Linked DNA regions of Xenopus tropicalis. The protein of the gene in region 2 purifies or fractionates together with the protein of the main gene of each other region. This does not show direct contact. Links are inferred from orthologs where the notes say so. Each region holds a gene or a part of one and is shown on either strand. Other genes may lie near its edges.

What was found.
Region 1: the proteins of cdk5rap3 (region 2) and pip4p2 purify together in Homo sapiens (affinity purification with mass spectrometry; 3 studies listed by BioGRID and IntAct, counting the BioPlex papers as one, with this or other methods). This does not show direct contact. The link is inferred for Xenopus tropicalis from reciprocal best matches to the Homo sapiens genes CDK5RAP3 and PIP4P2.
Region 3: the proteins of cdk5rap3 (region 2) and ufm1 purify together in Homo sapiens (co-immunoprecipitation; 3 studies listed by BioGRID and IntAct, with this or other methods). This does not show direct contact. The link is inferred for Xenopus tropicalis from reciprocal best matches to the Homo sapiens genes CDK5RAP3 and UFM1.

Annotation. Positions count from the first base shown.
Region 1 is NC_030682.2:126,751,508-126,755,752, reverse strand, and holds the start of pip4p2 (type 2 phosphatidylinositol 4,5-bisphosphate 4-phosphatase), read left to right. Parts: upstream 1-1,327; 5' UTR 1,328-1,437; coding exon 1,438-1,540; intron 1,541-4,245. UniProt on the Homo sapiens protein: Catalyzes the hydrolysis of phosphatidylinositol-4,5-bisphosphate (PtdIns-4,5-P2) to phosphatidylinositol-4-phosphate (PtdIns-4-P).
Region 2 is NC_030686.2:11,662,862-11,666,512, forward strand, and holds part of cdk5rap3 (CDK5 regulatory subunit-associated protein 3), read left to right. Parts: intron 1-310; coding exon 311-442; intron 443-1,169; coding exon 1,170-1,270; intron 1,271-2,068; coding exon 2,069-2,117; intron 2,118-2,196; coding exon 2,197-2,375; intron 2,376-2,752; coding exon 2,753-2,889; intron 2,890-3,651. UniProt on the Homo sapiens protein: Substrate adapter of E3 ligase complexes mediating ufmylation, the covalent attachment of the ubiquitin-like modifier UFM1 to substrate proteins, and which is involved in various processes, such as ribosome recycling and reticulophagy (also called ER-phagy).
Region 3 is NC_030678.2:151,095,486-151,099,652, reverse strand, and holds the start of ufm1 (ubiquitin-fold modifier 1), read left to right. Parts: upstream 1-1,307; 5' UTR 1,308-1,356; coding exon 1,357-1,358; intron 1,359-3,350; coding exon 3,351-3,407; intron 3,408-4,167. UniProt on the Homo sapiens protein: Ubiquitin-like modifier which can be covalently attached via an isopeptide bond to lysine residues of substrate proteins as a monomer or a lysine-linked polymer.

The DNA.
Region 1 (4,245 bases), on a different chromosome or scaffold from region 2:
TTGGAAACTAACATTTTGCGACTTTTTCGTATTTTTTGTGTTTTTTTCATCGCCATCACGACTTTTTCGTAGCCATTATGACTTGCGCGAATTGTCGCGACTTTTTCGTAGCCGTTACGGCTTGCTCATATATTGTTGCGACTTTTTCGTAGCCGTTACGACTTGCTCGTATATTGACGCAACTTTTTCGTATTGAGCGCTCGTAAACGGCGGGCAAACCTTTCAGACTTTGCATGATTTTGGAAGCCTCCCATAGGACTCAATGGCACTCTGCAGCTCCAACCCGGCCCAAGGAAAGTCTCCCATAGGGCTCAATGGCACTCTGCAGCTCCAACCCGGCCCAAGGAAAGTCTCCCATAGGGCTCAATGGCACTCTGCAGCTCCAACCCGGCCCAAGGAAAGTCTCCCATAGGGCTCAATGGCACTCTGCAGCTCCAACCCGGCCCAAGGAAAGTCTCCCATAGGGCTCAATGGCACTCTGCAGCTCCAACCCGGCCCAAGGAAAGTCTCCCATAGGGCTCAATGGCACTCTGCAGCTCCAACCCGGCCCAAGGAAAGTCTCCCATAGGGCTCAATGGCACTCTGCAGCTCCAACACGGCCCAAGGAGAGTCTCCCATAGGGCTCAATGGCACTCTGCAGCTCCAACCCGGCCCAAGAAAAGTCACGATACTGAAGCTTGAATGAATCTGAAACTTTCATACTCGGCGCGACGGCTACGAAAAAGTCACAACAATTTGCGCAAGTCGTAATGGCTAAGAAAAAGTCGCGACAATTTACGAAAAAATCACAAAATACCGATCATTACGAAAAAAAAAACGCATTCGGGTGCTTTTCGGACATTCGTGGATTAGTAAATGTGCCCCCATGTGTTTTCAGTATGGTGCTTTTCATTCAGTGCTATGGAGAGGGGCATTTCAACTGTTGAAAGGCATCAGCAGCCATCAAAATGCCCCTGTACTGTAGCTCTTCAAGTTCAAGGCAAGCCAGGGAAAGCAAGTTGGCTGTGCCCCTGGCTTCTGATTTAGTAAATACCCTGCAGAGACACGCCCCCTCTGGTCTAATCTGCTGTATGATGCGCAACTGGCTCAATCACAAGGTTATTTAACATACCCTCCATCTGTGCAAAAGCTCATAATAAAGGGGAAATAAAACCCAAGTATATCTCCATGACACACCCACACACCAAGCTGTTTATCAACTGCAGAGAGATGCAATGAATGGTACCCAGAATCATACAGTCCTATCAATGAACTCTTCCAGAATTCTCTAAATGGGAAAGTCCATGTGCTTTTGGCCCCTTTGTAGCACACGGAGGGGATGGGGGGGCTGTATTTGGTCCACTGTCTCCTCCCTCTTTCTTGTGCTTCCCAGCCCTGTGACACAGACTTTGTGCGAGTGCTTCCCTTCCTTCTGTCGGAGCTGCAGCTGCTGCAGTCATGGCTGCTGATGGGATTGACGAGCGCTCCCCTCTCATTTCTCCCAGTTCCGGCAATGTCACCCCTACGGCCCCTCCGTACCTCCAGCAAAACAACCTGCAAGGTAAGCAGATGTGGGTGCTCAGAGGGTGCTAAGCCAAAACAGTGGGTCCGGCCATCAGCATGTGGCCCCCAATTCAAACTGAGTGGAGGGAGGAGGAGATAATGCCTTGCAGAGTGAATCATACAGCGCTCTATTAGACTGCAGAGGTTTGGGCTGTTGCAGTGTCTCTCTGCTTTGTTTGCCTGTGGCATAAACAGAAACTAGCGACAGTCCCCCCTGTCCCGGTTATGTAATTCCCTGCATAGTTTTGCCATTATCCTGCATGAGCGATCCGGCCGGCAGCCTAGGAAATGTGCTGTGTTTGTGTGTGCTTGGGACATGGCCTTAATGAAGCTAATTAATAATTATCTGTTCACATATCACAGCTGAATGTTGCCTGTGTGTGGCTGGGGCTGCCATGTGTGTCATTAGTCTCTATATCCGACAAGTTGTGAAACAAGATAAATAATGTATTGGTTGTTGGTAACTCACAGCACCAATGCTAATGAGTAATGTATATAGTCAGCAATATATATATATTTATTTATATATACATTGTAACTTATTGCTCACTAATATTTTGAGGGGAGTCTTTTGCCAAATAGTCTGGATTTTGTTTTAAACAAAGTTTCATTCATGCTTTTTATTCATTTATTGAAACAGTTGCTTTGTATGTATATATGTATTGTTTACTTCAGCTGACTCAAACATGTAATACCTGCAGTCCTTTAACTACTGTGCCCTACAAATCCCTAAGCCCCTACAGCTGATGGATGGTTATAGATGCTGGGAGTTGTATTTGGCCAACACCACCCCCTTTGTTTCTAAACATTACTATGAAGGGGAATTATTTACACCTTTCCAATAGAAAGACCTGTGAATTGTCAGTCCATGAGGTCCCGTAACCAAGATCATATATATAAGCCCCCCAGAGGTCCTTCCTAGGTGTTGAACAAACACTTGTCACTTATTACTAGGCACTGGGCTGGACAATTTGCACCTTCTGCTTCTATTCACTCTACTCCCCTAGTATCTTCACTCCAACAAGTGTCGGCAGGCGTGAAGTTTAACCATGCAAGTCTAGGACTCCCCAAATTGTAAGTTAAGGTGCCCTTATGCTGTGTGTATGGTAAGGCAGAAGGGTGTCAGTTTATATATGTACAGTAGAAACAGAATCCTCTTATATTAGAGTCCCTTTAATATATTTGCAATCTGTGTATTGTTTTAAGCAGCTGAGAGGAAACATTCTTCTTTTGCAAGGGCAACTTTATGGTCTGTAGGTGTCCTGTGTTGATGTGTTGTGACAGTAGCCTTCCTTTTGGAGGCCAGGATGAGCTCTTTGTCTTTTACAGTAGGAAAGAATCAGTCACACAACTTGATTCCATAATATAAAATCGATTGAAACACAATGCCCACACTCTGACAGCTCAATACCCCCTGCAAACTCCCACAGGTTTCCCAGCCCTGTTATAGAATATCACTTTAGGCATGCACTGCATCCAGGCTTTGCTTTGTAGGCTTATTCCTAGAATTCCCATTCAATGTATCCTTCATATTCAACTGTATATTGTGATCCTAAAATTATTGACACCTAAAGGTAACATATTTTTTTCTGCTCTAATGCAAATATCTCTTATGGAGGATTAAGTATTTACATCAGTCCCTAACTTAATGGATCTTAAGGTTGTTATGTGCAGACATTTACTCATGTGATCCCGTAAGCTGGCTTTTTCATGGGAAAGCATGAGTTACAGGAGCCCATTCCTTTCTATTGTGTCTGTACCAAAGGCACCATGCTGAACAGTTGAACGCAGGTGGCGTGCTATATGTTGTGTACCATGTGTTTCCGTGCGGTATGAGGCCACTGCATGGGATCGAAAGAATAAATGTCCATGTGTAAGAGCCCTAGTATTCTAATGCACCTATCCACACATGTATACACATAGGGGCAAATTTATAAAAATGCGCTCAGTACAGGAAAATACTCACTTTCTATTCATTCCTATGGGGTTTTTAGAAGCGTATTTATGATGGGCGAAAGTTAAAACTCACCGTTTGATAAATACACATCTAAAAAAACCCATAGGAATGAATAGAACATGGGTGAGTTTTTATGTATTAAGCTCAAAAATCTCATTTTGGTAAATCTACCCCATAAGGTCAGTTTGATTAGAGGGCAAGTACCCGCACGGATCGCAAACAAGGCCCTGTGCAATGAGGCAGTGATACTAAAAGTGCCAGGAAAAGAGTGGCTTCCTAGATTACAGCCCTGCACATTATTATTACTGGGTTTGGGGCACACTGGCATTTTATATGCCTTGGCTGATATTACGAAATCTGAGAACTGTTTTATGCTACTTTCTCTTAATATTCTATTAAAAGTGGAAAATAAGGCATAAGCTACTGAATCTATTTATTTGCTCAGCAATTTCTGAATCAAATGACAGGGGAGATCCAAAGAGAGCAATTTTCAGGGTAGAAGAGTAACATCACTTATAAGGAGGGTAGAAGCAGTAATGAATGTGTATTAGCTTTTCCCCTGAGGGAATGCTTGTCCATTATAAACTTCACGTGGGATAAAGAGCATATGTGTCTGACAAATGCCTGCTGTCTCTCTGTATCAGATAGAAATCTGTGCTTAATGCATGTCAGGATATTATACTAGAGCTGTGTTTATGCTGGGAGTTGTAGTACAGCAACAGCTGCCTAATTGTAGGCTGAGCAAA
Region 2 (3,651 bases):
CATACATACATACAAGTAGCCTTAACAATGAATATGCCCTTTGTGCCATATCCCTCAGTATGCACGTATCCATATGTGTATCCTAGGGTGGCCAAATCACTTGAAAATTCAGGGGCACATCTAGAAAATACAGCTAGCAGGGCTTAACTGATTACAGTTTAATTTAATATCGGTAATGCCCTGCAACATGTATTTATTAGATGTGTCCCTGAATTTTTGAATGAGCTGGTCACCTTAGTATATCTGTATTAACAGGAGCTGTCTTATTCTTTGCCTTCTTTCTTAACCTGCTTCTCTGGTATTTTTGCAGATTGGCTAGTGGACCGGCGCCACTGTACCCTAAAATGGCAAAGCAAAGTATTACAGATTAGAGAGAAGATCAACCAAGCCTTGCAGGACATGCCAGAGCATGATGAGATCCGGGGTCTGCTCTCTGGGACATGTAAGTGGCAGGCATAGAATTTACATCTGAAGGATGTTGTGTTGTATTGGGCATAGTAAACACCTACTAAAGCTGGTATTAGGTAGATATTGAATATTTATGTGTCCTTGGATTTATCTGGTAAACTAACTAACTGCCTGTATATTCCTCATTTAATGGATATTAACACCCATTTTTTTTTTTTCAAACACAACTTTTTGAAAAGAAAACACAATTTCAAGCAACTTTGCAATATACATAAATTAAAAAATATGCAGCCTTTTCATGATTTTTAATGTAATAATCTGGTTTGGAGCAGTTCCCTAAACCCCGCCCCCTGTTCCCCTGCTGATCTGACTACTTTTTGACTCAAATAAAATGTAACAGTAGTCGCCTGCCTCCAAATCTCACAATGCCCTGTACATATATCATATATTTTGTATATTTTCTCTTTACTGGGGTTACAGAGCAGGGCAACCTAGTAAAGCTTGCCTTGTGTGTCTTGGTGACCTTAAATATTCATCTGTATAGAAATAGGTTTTCTACAGGTTTATAATTAGAATATATTCTGTTTAGTAAATTATTTTTTCATTTAATTTTGATGAGCAAAAGTATGTAATTTAATACGACTCTAAGTGCTTATAGTTATAAAAAGTAATTCCTTCCCCTCCGTGGTTATAATAACAGGTGGCAAATGCTGAATGATTTTCCATTGTTATTAATTAATTCAAATATTCCTACTGCCCAGATATTAATTACTTCCACTGTCTGAAGATTGTGGAGATCCTGAAAGGAACCGAAGCCGCAACCAGGAATCTGTTCGGGAGATATTCGTCTCAGAGAATGAAGGTGATTGGCTTATTCCCAGCAGTACATTCATCCTTCTGAAACCGTGAATAATGAAGCCTCACACTAACTAAATGTTCTAACCGGTTTAAATTGATTATGTGCAAATTTACTTTGGACTAACCCATTAATTAACACAAACCACCCTTCCCCAGGCCAGTGATTAGATCAAAGTAGGCTCCTGTGCTGGCCCGTTAGGAGAGAACATCATCAACACAGTGATGTGGTCCCTGCTCAATGGGATTTTCATGCCTGATGGATAGATATCTGGCTGATTTGTGGCCAGATATCTATTGGAAAGCAATTTGGCATAGACACATAAGTCGCTGACTCAGTCTGAAGGGGCCATATCAACATCTTAAGAGCCTGTTCGCATTTAAATTAACTTTTAGTATGATGTACGCAGTGATATTCTGAGTTAATTTGCAATTGGTCTTCATTTTTTATTTTGGTGGTTTTTCAGTGATGAAGCTTTTTGTTCAGCAGCTCTCCTGTTTGGAATTTTACCTTGGCAACCAGGCAGTGGTTTAAGTGAGAGACAGGAATATGTATAGGACAGGGACTGAATAGAAAGATAAGTAATAAAAAGTAACAATAATAATTAACTTGTAGCCTCACAGAGCATTAGATTTTGGATGTTGGGGTCAGTGACCCCTATTTGAAAGGTAAAATGCTAGGAATCGGAATGTTAAAGCAAATGAGAGGCAAGTAGCATGATTGTAGTAATCGGTAAGATTTACTGGCACAGCTTCATTGTTTACTTTTTATTATGGTATAATTGCTTGTTGTTCTTCTCGGCAGGACTGGCAGGAGGTGGTGTCTCTGTACCAGGCTGACAATACTTACCTGGGTGAGTATGTTATGCAGTAGCAGGTTTGTGTGTCACAGGGCAGTGATCTGAGAGCTCACCGTGTGTGTCCCTCCTGCAGGGGAGTCGGCCAGTCTCCTGATGCGCAGTGTGAGCTATGAGATCCCAGCTCTGAGGAAGCAAATGTCTCGCTGTGAGCAACTGGCTCTGGAGAGTGAGCGCAGGGCGGAAGAATGCTTGCACGGAGCAGCAGAACAGCGAGAACAATATTATAACAGCTGCAAAAACTATGGGATCAGTGTAAGAACATGAAGCCTTTGCCAATGCTTACTTTTGCCCCCAGCCCAGTTATATCCTTATGTCTTTCTCTCAATGGTCCTCTCTGATTCCCTGCAGTCTACCTCCTTATAGTCAGATTTCTTATCTAAACTGCCTGTGGCTTATTACTAGCTTGGACAAATGTTCCCCGGGGCACTAACTTATAGAGACTTTACTTACATTATATTATCTGCAGTACACAAATGAAAATTAATTTTCTGATAGGATGCCATGTAATATTGCACTGGGACTTGTGCTGCTGACAGCAAACACGCTTTCCCTTGCCCTCTCCCTTCAACTTGCTGCAACAACAAGTTGCACTTTGTAGCTGCATCATCCCATTTACTTCTGCCGTGCAGGGTGAGGATATACAAAAAGAGTTGCTGGCATTGGTTTGCGATGTTCCTTCTGTCCTGAGGCAGATCGGTGCCGACTCAGCAGGGCTGTTGCCTGCAATCCAGCTGTACCAGGCCTGTGTGGCCTTTGTCTGTGACAGGTGAGACCATAGCAGAAAGAAGGACAAATGCAGGAGTGGGACGGGGGATAAAATCATTGTAGGTATATGAGAATATCAATTTTTGTGTGCATATTATGGAAAAGAGAGAAGGTTACAGTTATCAAGAAGAAAAAGGGGACAGGTAGAACATGGTGTAGGACAGGGCCACCCGGAAGTGAGCAGCCCAACGTTAGCCTAACATATGACTAGGATCTGCCATTTTGCTTGGCGCAGATGAAGCATTTTCAGTTAATGAGAACCATAAAGGAGCCATGTTTATGACCACTATTATGAGAACTGTTACTAAAGTCAATGGAGAATGCTTGAGCACTGCCTCAAAAACAGTGTATCGTGCAATTTACTAGGATGTTTGTTTGTGAATTGGCCTTTGTAAATGGCGTTTAGGCATGTGATTTTGCATTTTGTAATGTGTATATAAACCATAAAAATATTATAAGAATTCAACCCCAACAGATTAATATTCTGTTGTACCTTTGCAGTAATAATTCATCCTTTGGGGGTAAGTTAGTACCAGCTTTTCTTGCCGCTTAGGGATGACTTGGACCCATTCTGCCAAGTAGATTTGGTGCAGGTTATTCAGGTTAGTGGGTAATTGCCCCATGCGCCATTGCTGTTTGTAATAGTTGGCATCTCTGTGGTTTCTCTCCACCAAGTCTCCATCTTGATCAGAGTTTTTTGAGTAACTGCCTTTTCAAGGAAGTGTTTGGGTTCATAACTGAACCACAGTGCCCACTGAGATAT
Region 3 (4,167 bases), on a different chromosome or scaffold from region 2:
CTACCATTATTATATAATAATGTTATACCCCTGAATGAATGAAATATGAGTGATGAACTGACTTGAATAATTATAACCTATCATGCACTTTGCAAGGTTAAAAACTAAGGATGAAACAATTAGTGCTTAATTTTACCCTTTCACAAAAATGACTAAATACTTTTTAAAACAATGACACCAATGTATATTAAGATCCGCTAATATTATCATTATTATAGCTATTATGAATATTAAAAGGGCAATATAAACCAATATACAGCTTTTGTCAGCATAAGTAAAATAGATATTCTTTTAATTACAAATTATTAATCATTTATATCATTAAGCAGAACAAATAGCATTATTTCATTTTCACAATTACTATGTTACCATTAATAAGTTGATTTACTTTAACTAGTGATACTGAGATCTGTATAAACAACCACCTTCCTTCACCCTTTTATTGCAAATGTTTTGCCTTACAGACAAGCAGGAGTATATTATGTAGAAATGGAGGCAGGTTCAAGTAGGAATAGTAAGAGCTATATATCACAATAATCAGAGCTGTCAACCCTCCCAAAAATTTAGGAATCTAACAATGTTTCCATTAAACCCCACTCCTGTTCATTAGGTGCTTATGTGGTTGAGTGAGCACTCACACTCATTCAGTGCTCATGTGCTGTGACATCACAGGAGCACACTCACAATCCCCCAGCTGGGCAGAGAAAGAGACTCTGTCAGTAAATCTATTTTTTTGGCTGAAAACAGGCAGAATATGAAAGGTAATAATGCAAAAGCCATTTAAAATAAATAAGGAAAGCCAACAAAATTGTGCTTAAAATAGGTCCATCTACATTATAAAGGTAAAATACCCCAAAGTCCACTGTGTATATATCAAATCCTTTCATTAAATGTATTGTTTTCTGAAGTAACTCCAATACAATGCAAGCAGCAGAACTATAAGACTTTACCCTAGCCAAAGCTTGCCCTAATCAAAGATGGCCGCTGAAAGCTTCCAGCCTAATGACGCACAAGCCCTCTGTCAATTAACACGTGTACCTCGGAAGGCCAGTTCAGATATGCAGCCCATTAGCGCCAGTTTAAAAAAAACTACGTGGCATTTTACTGTTGCCCTTCTGTTTGAATAGCGATACTTTTAAATATGGTTATCTGTAGATTTAAACAACACACACCTTGTATTTTTGTAGTTGGTATATGTTGTTGTGCCCGGGGGTTCTGACAGGCATGTAGTTGGACAGCTATCCCTCTCGCTGAACTAGTGTTGATGACGTAGAACGAGGACAGGCTGCTTCTACGGGACCAAGACACCGGCAATTCTACCTGTGCTACCGGCAGCGTAACATTTCCGCACATACAATGTTAGTAGCTGTGGACTCATTATGTTGGGTTCCTTTTCTAATTAACAATTCATCTTTATTTCATTACAGTGTATGTGTAGGCAGCAGGCAGCAGTCAGCTGTCCGCAGTTCCATGGACGCTACTATTAAGAGTCATTTCGCGGGGGGGTTAAAATTGATCAACAGCGAAGCATTGACACTTTCCAGATCTCTGTCATTTCAAATGTTATTCTAACTTTGTACTGAATAGAGCTGCTGTATGCTTTCATTGGTACAGCAGCCCTGGCACCTACAGTGCCTATTTAATGCAGGCTACACCAGCCAACAGGGCTTATTGACATTCATTCTGTTCTGAAGGGGGTTATATAATGATACAAAGTTTACCCTAGTTCTTTAACCCATAGCAACTGTTTAGCAGTTAGAATAATGAAAGAGATCATTATGATATTATTCTGGTTGCCTGAGGTTTTTGTCATTACTAATTATTGGCACTGAAGTGCAGCAACCATTCAACAATTTGCTTTGAACAGTTCACTCAGTATGAGAAAATGAAATCAGTCATCTGATTGGTTGCTAAGTGGTAACTGCTGTGGTGTAGTCTAGCACTTATGTGTGTAAATCAGGCCCTGCTTAAATCTAGAGGTGTATTTTTAAGCAAGTTGTGACTTTCATCCCAGGATTTCTGTTTTGCCCATTAGTTACAATATGTGATGTGCAGTGGGGTTAGTTACACTACAGAGTGCCAAAAAGGGAGCAAAACCCCATCTGCAGCCTTAGCTGGCTTTGTTTTCAGATTTGCTCCTGTGAATACAGGGACTGCTGCCTTGGTCAGCACTGTGTAGTTGCATAGTTAATTTTGTAATACCTATACAAACTAACTGTAGGTATTAGTATCACAATAGCCTTGGACTACTATGCTTGTTCAAGAACCCATCCAGGCCCCTCTTATAGGCAATAACAGAATCTGCCATCACAACATCACTAGGAAGGGCATTCCCCAACCTCACTGCCCTCACTGTGAAAACTGATGGCGCCTATACCTGCCGTTCTAATTTGCACCAATACCGCCACCTGTAGGTGGGGATATTGGGAGAAGATCTGCTCACTGAGTAGTGAGCGGATCTTACCGTGTATGACCAGCTTTAGTTTCAACTGCCCCTGTAAACAGATCTGCACCAGATTTGTGCAGTGACAATATTAGTGTTACCTGAGACCCCTATCCCTGCCTCCCAAGTCCCCAGTGTAGTCGCTGTTGTATCATACCCACCTGGAACCAGCACAGATAAGAATTAGCTGTGGAACAGCAGAATCACACAGTATTAGACTGGGGTGTCAGGGGGCTGCCACCTCAGAGCCCCCTACCCCAGTCGTAAGTCCACCCACCATTGGGCAGCATAGCAGTGTTATATTTACATTTGCTCGTAATCGGGGGTGGAGCTCAAAAAGGCAGGGACTGGGTTGGCAGTGCCCACAGGGTTTTTCCTGCTGGCCCAGTCCGACCGTGGACTCATAGATGAAGACTTGAAGCTCAATAAGGAGCAGGCTAACACAGCTACAAAGAAATGTATTGCATGTTTATATTTAAAAGCATTGAGTTTGGTTATACATTTTTAAATTTCTGATACATTTAATATTAACCACATGACCTTATTTATAGTGTTCCAAATTCATTCCATCTTGGGGCTAATAACTTCCTTTTATTACATTTTTATTTATAAACATCAAATATCCTATTTGATTAATTCAGCAGTATAGAGATAAGGCAGGCCATTATGTGGGAGTGATGGGACATATTGTATGGGAGCATCACTGCAAACCTTGAAATTGCCTGTTGCTATGAGATCAGATTAGATGGTTGACTGATGCTGAAGAAAGCGCATCCCAAGGAAGCACTGCTTGCCACAAATATGGCATTTTGCTTTATTTGGGACCATTGAGCTTTATAACAGCAATTATAATTACTATAATTAATACAGTTACATTTTCTAACTTTTTTTGTTTGAATTTTTCAAGGTCAAAGGTTACATTTAAAATCACACTTACGTCAGACCCCCGACTGCCGTACAAAGTGTAAGTTTTGCTTTTCCTTTTACCATATAACTACATGATGTACTTTATCTTATTTTAATGCCACTTTGCTCTGTGTTTCACAAAGACAGTTTATTCAGGGCCTACTGTATAATTACCTTGATTTAGTGTATCTGCTGGAACTGTGAATCATTATTACAGATGGCTTAATCCATACAGCAATGATAACTTCTGTAAAAAAAATTTCGTCCATACTGTAATCAGCACTTTTCTTCATTCTGTTTATTGATTTCCTATATTGCAGATTTATTTAAAATTGTTAGCTTTTACCTAAAGTCATGCAGATCTGGTTTTAGAGAGCCCGGCCTGTGCAAGTGTCCCCATAAGGTATAATGCTATCTGTACTCTACACTGAGAAATTTGTCCATATGTCCCTGCTTTGGGAGAATCGTGCCCATCTAAATGTGGAGGTCCTTTGGCAGTACATAATCATATGCGGGTGATACCTGGCAGCGATACACTCTATCGTAGCACTTTTTCCACTGGAAATTGACTGTTGGTTTAAAGGAGAAGGGAAGACTAATAAACAGTTAATCTCAAGCTGCAGGCATACCTTCAGTTCTCTCAATAGTGCCCTTAAGTCTCCCCATATTTGTCCTGTTCAGATGGTCAGAAGCCTCATTGGAAAAAAAATGCTGGCCTTTTTTTTTTTTTTTTCAAGAAACTTCCCATAATGCCTCGCTCCTGCACCAAGACCAAGACCCCTGTACATGCGCAGTTAGTAAGACTATGAGGAAGCTTC